Nothobranchius furzeri: one gene and its partner. The protein of the gene in region 1 interacts with the protein of each later gene in a pairwise test. Links are inferred from orthologs where the notes say so. Each region holds a gene or a part of one and is shown in the gene's direction. Other genes may lie near its edges.

What was found. The genes of interacting proteins can lie anywhere in the genome.
Region 2: the proteins of bcar1 (region 1) and nphp1 interact in a two-hybrid assay, tested with the Homo sapiens proteins (2 studies listed by BioGRID). The link is inferred for Nothobranchius furzeri from reciprocal best matches to the Homo sapiens genes BCAR1 and NPHP1.

Annotation. Positions count from the first base shown.
Region 1 is NC_091754.1:40,234,082-40,238,785, forward strand, and holds the start of bcar1 (breast cancer anti-estrogen resistance protein 1), read left to right. Parts: upstream 1-1,510; 5' UTR 1,511-2,112; coding exon 2,113-2,124; intron 2,125-4,704. UniProt on the Homo sapiens protein: Docking protein which plays a central coordinating role for tyrosine kinase-based signaling related to cell adhesion. Implicated in induction of cell migration and cell branching. Involved in the BCAR3-mediated inhibition of TGFB signaling.
Region 2 is NC_091752.1:27,149,554-27,154,287, forward strand, and holds the start of nphp1 (nephrocystin-1), read left to right. Parts: upstream 1-1,672; 5' UTR 1,673-1,917; coding exon 1,918-1,980; intron 1,981-2,458; coding exon 2,459-2,520; intron 2,521-2,668; coding exon 2,669-2,729; intron 2,730-2,848; coding exon 2,849-3,009; intron 3,010-3,194; coding exon 3,195-3,414; intron 3,415-4,713; coding exon 4,714-4,734. Other genes in the region: zgc:65997 (C-signal), read right to left, coding at 1-157, 392-718. UniProt on the Homo sapiens protein: Together with BCAR1 it may play a role in the control of epithelial cell polarity. Involved in the organization of apical junctions in kidney cells together with NPHP4 and RPGRIP1L/NPHP8. Does not seem to be strictly required for ciliogenesis.

The DNA of each region.
Region 1 (4,704 bases):
GGTCTGTGGGCAGCATCATCAGGGAGAAGAGCACAGGTAAGTTTTTCTCGCTGTATAGCATGTATCATACTAACTGTAAGTGATGTAACCGCCATCAATGTGTTTGGTCCCTTTTCTACAGTTGAAAGACGACCAAATGATGTTGGAAGGACTTGTCTTTTCTCCCAACAAGAGGCATCGTTGTTGACACCATCGTTCAAAATAATGAAATCCAGCAGAGAGATTAAAGATGGAGCCAACTTTGATGGAAGAAGAAAGTTTGTATCGAGCTTTTCTAGATAAAAACTACAAGGCACTTCACAAGAAAATAAAATAAATGAAAAAAAATTAAATATATATTGTTATATAATAAAAATGGGAGAAATGGGAAACAGTTCAGAAAAATGTGAATAAAAAAGAAAATGTCATCACAGGAACATGAAAAAGAACTGACAAACACCAGCATGAAGAGAAACTAGTGAAGATTCAGCAGAAGGTGACATTAAAACCAGCCTGGACAGGTGAGTTTTCAGCTGCTTTTTAAAGGAGACCACTGAGTCCACTGATCTCAGGGGGAGAGAGGTCCAGAGTCTGGGGGCCGCAGCAGCAAATGATCTGTCACCTTTGGTCTTTAGCCTGGTGCTGCACAACCAGTAGGCTTTGATCACTGGACCTCAGGGACCTGCTGGGGGTGTAGGGACTAAGAAGATCACCAATGTAAGATGGTGCTTGTCCATGTAAGGCCCTATAGACCAGAACCAGGATCTTGAAATGAACCCTGAAGTTGACTGGCAGCCAGTGAAGCTGGAGGAGAAGCAGGGAGATGGGGGTGTGTTTGGAGGACTTGGTCAGAAGCCGAGCACAGGCATTCTGAACCACCTGTAGACGGTTCAGGGAGGTTCTGCTCAGACACGTGAAAAGAGAGTTACAGTAGTCTAAGCGTGAGGAGATGAAGGTGTGGAGAAGTCTCAAGTTCAGAATGGGACTCAGCTTAGCAATGTTCCTGAGATGGAAGAAGAAGAGCGAAAAAGAGAACTGGCATGAGAATCCAGGGTGAGAACTGGGTCAAAGGTCATGCCAAGATTCCTGACAGAGAGTTTGGTGTGAGAAGCAAGCTGACCAAGAGAGTCTCTGACTTTGGGAACCAGCTTGTTTGGGGCACAGATGAGGATCTCAGTCTTATCTTCATTCAGCTGTAGAAAGCTCCCAGCCATCCAGGTTTTGATAGAGTCTAAGCAGGTGTGTAACAGCTGCAGCTTAGACATCTCATGGGGCTTAAAGGAGATGTACAGTTGGATGTCATCTGCGTAAAGATGGTAGGAGACTCCTTTGAAGGAGCTCAGGATGTGCTGAAAAAGAAGCAGACAGAGGATAATTGGAAGGAGGAAATCATAAAAGCAGCAGGAATGAAGGAATGCAAGAGACTGTTTACTGGTTTTGCTGGGAGCACTGGTGTTTATAAAGTCCAACATCTGCTGGGAGGATGGACCTAGGATGCAGCAGTTTGGCACTGAAGGAGCTTCCAGCTCCACACCAGCTTCATGCATGGGATGGAGGACACTGTCCAACAGTGATGTTATTTTCACTAGAGTCCTCTCTCCCACCCCCAGCTGGGTCAAGGGGACATGCTAGGACAGAACTTCTTAATCAGCTTCCCGTCTCTCAGTAGCCCCAAACCACACAAAGATGGTGGATGGGAGGGGGGCTCGGGCCCTTTAAGCGGACAGGATCCAGCCTGTGGTGGGCGGACGGTAGCAGCCAGCTGTGCTCCACCCGCTCCGCTCGGCCTCCAGCCGCAGCTGCTTCATGCTCCAGCTGTTATAGCCGCGCGTCCGTGGGGGGTGAGTCCGAGGCAGAGTGACTTGAGGGAGGACCGAGAACCGTCAAGTCTGCGGGTCATACGGACGATCGCATTACCGCTGCTGCAGATCTGCGCCTCTGAGGCGCATTTTTACGCAGCAGTCCAGCTGGACTGAGACAAATCCCGACCTCTTCCTCCCGCTGGGAGCTTTCCTTTCCTACCAGGAGTCTTTTCCATGGAATCCACGAACGGCTGACGCCAGCGCAGCTGTGCATAAAACCCGCTAGAGACGCAACTGGCAGGAAAAGGCGCAATAGGACAGCTGCAGCAAAATGTCTATCCCTGTAAGTATGTCAGACGCATGTTGGTGTTCCCAGTCGTTGCTCCGGTGTTCCATGTTAATGGTTGTAACAGCCTGGGCCCGGGCCGCCCGGTTCCATAGCACTACAGTAATTAAGATGTTATCATGTGAGCCCACACATATTACTGTAACACGGTGTGTGATATGTGCTGGTGGTGACATGTTACTCTTTGTCTTTGGCCTACATGAAGCTCCAGCGGGTTTAAAGGAGCAGCCCGCCCCTTCCGGGAGGCTGTTTGCATGAAGGCCAATGTCAGCCAGGGTCTGGTGGCTTCATTCCAGCAGACCTGGCCAGTCAGCTCAGCAGAGCAGCTGATAGCACTGTGTGTGTGTGTGCAGGTGTGCGTGCGTGTGTGTGTGTTTGTGTGTGTGTGCAGGTGTGCGTGTGTGTGGAATAAGGCATTTGCTCGAGCTTGTTGAGTTATTTTCCATCAAATTCCAAAGGATCTGTTTCACAAACACTGCCTAAGGATCTCTCTCTCCCTCTCTCTCTCTCTCTCTCTCTCTCTCTCCTCTCTAACTGAACTGATGCTTCATTTTGTTGGGGACGACAAAATCCTACTGGCACTTTAATATAAAGTTATTAGACGATCTTACCTTTTGCAACATTTTTAAGCTGTTCTGGGAGGCTTTGCGGTCCAAAAGAATGATTTTAAGACCATCAGTGAATGGTGGGAACAAGGGAAGGCACAAATTAGAGTTTTCTGTCAACATTACACGCGGGGGTCTACAAACCAAATAAGAAAGACTATGGCAGATCTAGAGAAGGACATCAGGGTGCTAGACTACTACTCAACAACAGCACACCTTAGACCAAAAAAAGACAGCAGCTTGGGCATTTCCTGCAAGAGAGGGCCAAAGGCGCCTTGATCTGGGCTCGTCTCACCACAATACAGGACATGGATGCTCTGACATCCTTCTTTTTTAACCTGGAAAAGACTTCAAACCAGAAAAAACAAATGGCTGGCCTGCGTCTGTCAGATGGACAGTTATCCACAGACCCAGTGGAGATGAGGAAGCATGCAGTAGAATTCTATACCAGCCTATTTAAGGCCGCCCCATGTGATGTGAACTGTGCCAGAGAGCTGTTGCAGGGGCTTCCTTCCTTGACCACAGTAGACCAGGGAATCTTAAATGCAGACATAACCATGGAGGAACTTACAACGGCAGTCTCCCAGATGGCTGCAGGTAAATCTGCGGGGATGAACAGCTTACCCGCTGACTTCTACAAATTCTTCTGGAGCAGTATTGGACAGGACCTGATGGATGTTTTTAGAGACTCACTTCAGACAGGAGCACTTCCTGCATCGTGTAGTTGGGGCGTTCTGTCCCTGCTGCCGAAAAAAGGGGACTTAACCCAACTAAAAACCTGGGGACCAGTTTCCTTGTTGTGTTCAGACTATAAGATTTTTTCTAAGTTCCTATCTAATAGACTTCGGGGATTCATCAGAGGTCTAATCCCAGACGATCAGTCCTTCTGTATACCAGGAAAGTCATTAATGGACAATTTATTTTTAATGAGAGATGTGTTTGATGTTTGTAAAATGTATGATGTAAACGCAGGTATCATTTCTATTGATCAGGAAAAGGCGTTTGATAGGGTTGATCATGAGATCCTGTTCTCTACGCTACAGGCCTTTGGTGTTGGGGGGTCCTTCCTGGAAGGGATTAAGATGCTGTCATGTCATGTCAGCTGTATGGTGAAGGTAGCGGGGGGCCTGAGCCAACCCACCAGTTCTAAGAGGAATCAGACAGGTTGTCCCATCTCAGGACAACTGTATATTTTAGCCATTGAACAGCTGCTGTGTCGGCTGAGGAACAGGCTGAAAGGTGTACACCTACCTTTACCTGACTCCAGTCCTCCCTTAGTTGTGTCTGCTTATGCAGATGATGTGAATGTTTTCATCCATGATCAGCAGGATGTACAAGAACTCAGATCTAGTTTACGTTTACATGAGAAAGCATCCTCAGCTAAGGTTAACTGGGACAAGAGTGAGGCATGTGTAGTGGGGGGTGGGACCTTGGTGATGTCCCGCCTCTGCCAGAAGGGTTGAGGTGGGGAACGGGAGGTATTAAAACACTAGGCATGTACTTGGGTAGGGAAAGGTTTCAGAAACAGAACTGGGAGAAGGTGCTGGAGAAGGTGGAGGCGCGGTTGTCTAAATGGAAATGGCTGCTCCCTCAGCTGTCCTACAGGGGCAGGGTTCTGATAGCAAACAACCTCGTCGCCTCGTTTCTGTGGCAGAGACTGATTGTACTGGTTCCACCACCCCGTCTGCTGGAAGGTGTTCAGAAGCTGTTGGTGAAATTCTTCTGGTCTGGTCACCACTGGATCAGAGCTTCGGCTCTTTGCCTACCCGTGTCAGAGGGAGGACAAGGACTAATAGACGTGGTGTCTAGAACTGCAGCCTTCAGGTTACAGACAGCTCAGAAGCTTTGTTATGGTGACGGACTCCGCTGGCTCCCCCTGGCTCATCTCCTGCTGCAGAAGGTTGGTGGGCTTGGGCTGAACAAACACCTGTTCCTGTTGAATCGGAAGGTGTTGGATCTGACAAGGATTAGT
Region 2 (4,734 bases), on another chromosome or scaffold:
CTTTAGCTGTGATGTTGGCGATGATGCCGCTGTGATGCTTGGCTTTCACTGCAGGTTGCTGTCCAAAAGCACCGCTGCCTTTCTGGAGGAGGGGAGCAAAATATTTGGCCATCACCAGGGGACCCACAGTGTTGGTTGTCAGAGTGGAAATTACACCCTGAAAACGAAAATAAGTCACGAAGTTAGTGGTATAATGAAATCTGCAATGTGTAGATAGCATGGTTTAAAGTATGTTTTAATATGTTTGAGTTTGTAATTGATGGTTTAAAAACCTGTGGAAAAATACTCTGTTGATTCTCTGAGCCTCACCGGGGACATTGATCACATATTTGACATTTTCAAAGTGACATCATGAACTTAATCTAATCTTTACAGACATTTTAAGTTTTACCTGTGCAGAAACATCCCTCAGGCTGGTCTCTCCTCTCTTGGAAGGGTGAAGCATCGCTGAGGAGTTGATGAGGAGATCCAGACGACCAAAGTTCTGCTTAACCTGCTCTGCTGCTTCAAGGATCTCCTGCTCGTGGTTCACGTCCAGCTTTAAAACCGTGAGTCTGCCCGGGTGTTGGCCTGAAAGGCCCCGGAGCTCGGAGGACCCGTCAGGGTTTCGGCATGTCGCGATGACAACAGCAAGGCTTTTATTTTTTAAAATGTGTTTGCAGAATTCAAGCCCTAACCCTCTGCTGGCACCCTGGATGAGAGCAACGGGGACCGCCATAGCAGAGAAGTAGTTATAAAAGAGGAGTGCTTGCTGCCTTCAATTACACTGAAGCTTCGAAAAGTTGAGTTTTACGAGTTAAAACCATAAGTAGATCGGTGAAAGATCTTTTTAATAACAAATTTAGCGGATATATGATAGAAATTGAACATAATTTAGTAACAACCACGCAAAATGTGTTACGCTTTGTTAGAAAATCTTAATTCTTACTGTTGGAAAAAATGATTCCAACGTCACCTGAATGTAGCACATTTCACAACAAGTAAAGCGCGCCCCCATGAGGTCATTGTTGAATGCGTCAGCACAACTTTAGCACATAACGTGACAGTCTGATTTTGCTTTTGATTGAAATGAAATAAAAGTAAATAAAAAACTATATAAAAGAAAACAATGAGGACAAAAAAGCGGTGAAAAATACGGTATGAACAAAAAATAGTCAAAAAATAGTATAGTCATCAATAAATTAAATAAATATCAATCAAGTTTCTTTGTATAACACTTTCCACAACCCTGGAAGTGCTTAACCAAAGAATGAAAGGTAAAAAACAAAAACAAAACAAAAAAAAAAAATAAAATAAATTTAAGTTCATATTAAAAAATATAAATAGTGAGACCTTAAAATCAATAACTAAAATAAAACATAAGGAAGTTATATTATTTATTTAATGCATTTATACGGTGAAAATAAATTATGATTTCCTGATTAGTCGTTTGAAAGTTTCTAAAAACAACAAACACAGGCTTTAAAACTATTATGAGGACAAAGAAAATAAATAAATAAATTTTAGTGGAATGTGGCAAAACCCTCAACATTTCTGTCCTTGAATAAATAATATGAAATTAAGTTATTTACATATAAGTCAAAAATTCGTTTGTCTAGTTTGTAAATACGAAATACCATTCCAAGCCCATAGAGGGCGGTAAAACTAATAACTTTAAAACGGACGGATACTCTTTGTTAAAAATATATCGTGATTACGGTTAGGGTTACTCAATAAATACATATCTACAAATATGCACACTACAAATAGCAAATAGTTGTCTGGTAATTAAACTAGAAATATAAAAAATGACCAAATAGATTGACGATTTTCAAAGAAGAAGTTGGTTGCTTAGCGACCATTAGCACAGCGTCATTTCGTGAGCTAGGCTAATCGCGTAGCTAACGCATGGAGCTCGTCACCATAAATGTTGTATAAATGCCACCTAAAAGAGGACCGTTGCAACTCGTCCAGAGAGAAATTGAAGAAGTCGGAAGACAGGTTTGTTTAGCAGCAATGCATACATTTGTGCCGCTTTTTAATACGAAAAAAACAAAACAAAACTCAATGAAGTATCAGACTGCGACCGTTGCACAAACTGTGACAATAAAGAACCACTTACGAGTCGTCCAAGGGCTTGGACCTGGACTTTTTCCCGTCTATTTAAAAAAATATAAACCTTTTACTGGTGCTTTTTGATCTAGTTTAGATAAATAACGCACTGTGTACATTCACTCGCTGAAATAGTTGAAATAAAACTATCATTTGGCTCGTAAATTTAAAGTTGATGTTTCTAAAATACAATTGGTGGTCTATTTAAAGAGCTTTGAGGCCGAAGGCAAAGCTTATTATAGTAAAAATATAGATTACATTTATTTTTCTTCCGTTATTCAACATAAATCAGTATTTACACAGTGACATTTACGTTGTCTAATGTGTTATATTATCACCTCTCATCCTCCTTCTCCCTCTGAAACAGGTTGACAGATTGATGAAAGATGTGCAGAGTCCAGAAGGATCGAACGACAAGAGACTTTGCAGGTAGGCATTTATGATGACAGAGGAATGGCGGTGTTTTCTAAACTCATTTGTGTTTTTGCAGAATCAATGAAGGCTACGGCCATCTTAGCCTTTAGTAGGTTTTAAATATCATTTTAAGTTTAATACTATTCTTAATACTTGTCAAAAGATGTCTCGAGCTACAAATGTCTGCAGAGAAGACTTTAAGGACACTGCTGAGTTTAAGAAAGGTCAGTTTTCCAATCTCAAAACGGTCAAATAAAAGATCTTAGAGATGGGCAACAATTAAATGCTTCTGATGGATGATTGTAACTAAGCTGAGCTTACAATCTGCTGCTTTGATTTCCAGGCAGATGAGCTAGCTCCAGTGGGGAGCTATGATCAGAGGAAACAGGAAGAGGAGAAACGACTAAAAAACATCTTGGAGCGTCTGAACAAACTCTTTATGGAGATATCACCTCCAGGCCCCAGCAGTGAAATTGAGTCTGTACTTCTTAAAGAAAACAAACAGTATTGAATGCTACTGACATTATTTGCGCATTTTTAGGTTTAAATCCTGTGTTTTTAATTGTATTTTTTATCAGTAACACAACCTTCATTATGTTTCTTTTAAAAGAGTGAGATTTGTTGCGTCTGAAATGAATTTTGGTCGATTGCATTCAGTCCATTTTCTAGTTGCTCTGTTTCGCCCACAGCCATCTTTCTAAAAACAACAGTGAAGGTGATGTTGGTGAAGATGATGACAAGGATAGTAGCGAAGAAGAAGATGACAACAACGACGATGATGATAATGATGACAGCGACGACACAGAAGTTGAAGATAATGACAGAACTGTGAAACCACAGCCGAAACCTTCTGTGTATACAGTCCTCTGTGATTTCAAAGGAGAGCAGGAAGGAGATCTTCCTGTTCAGGTGAAGTACTTCCTGTGTCACTAACACTTAGATCTTAGTCATACATTCAGCCACATTCAAGGGGCTCTGGAGGTGCTAAATAACAAAAATAAATGTTTAAGCTTGGGTTTTTTCCCCCTTCTTGTTACTTATTCAGTTAAAACAGAAGATGGCGCTACTGTAGTCCAGTGATCACCATTGTACAACAGGAATGGGCACAACCGTCTTAAGAGACATACTATGGCTTTTCTCAAGTTACAGCAGTTTTATGGTTGATTCTAAACATTGTTAATGATGTCATTTGCATTAAATCCCTCTCACATAAAACTATATCAGCAGTTTTATTCTTGACAATTTCACTACCTTACATAATGAGCCGTTTCATGGCTCTGTCACTTTAAAAGGGTACCAGGTAGTTTTGCTTGCTTTTATCACCCCCTAGTGTTCGTTATTAATTCACTGGTTATACTGAAAATGAAACTTTTCTCCTCGCTATGAGTTTGTCTTTTTAACACCTTAATCTAACTGCTGAAACATCTCCTTTGCTTTCATTAGTGTCTGCAAGAGTGATTAATCATTAAATCAAACAAATCAGCTGTGTTCATGATCTAAACATGCAGGAAACATGCTGGAAGCAGACTCCAGCTCCACACTACTCCACAGCTGCCTTCGCTAGCAGGGAGCGGCCTGCTAACTCTGAAGCTGCAAGTGTGGTTTTCTGACCACGGGGGTGGTTTGGTCTGAGTAACATTTCATCAAACTTGTAAAGGGTAATTTTGGCACATACTGACACAAGAAAATAATTTATAAATATGATAACAGTTGCATAGAATCCCTTTAAGAAAACAAGTCGTCGTTAGCCATGCCCACCCCTCCCCTGATTGGCTGCTATGAACTGAGAAGCTCTGATATGCAGGAAGTAGTTGGAGTAGAGCTGGTGTTCCTCCAGCAGCAGCTTTCTCTTGCACGTGAGAGGTGTTTCTATGATAATTTCCCTATTTGTGACATCACAAACAATGACTTTTTTAAACGGCTCATTTTATGCCCTGGCAGAAAACAGGTGGAAAGATTTTTTTTATGTTTGGAGTGTTAATAGTAGTTGTAGAGACCCACACGGCAGCACAAAAGGGTGCAGAATGTGAATTTTACATAATATGTCCAACTAAAGAGGGAAGAAACACAAAAAAAAAGAAGTCTGAGAGACTTATTATTAAAATAATATGCCTCCTTAGGTGCCTTCTAATGTGTAAGGGTCATGAAACCTGTTTCCTACTCTTTTATCTCTATTGAGTCCTGGTTCGTTATATTTTCTTCTTTCAGAAGGGGGAGGTGTTGACAATA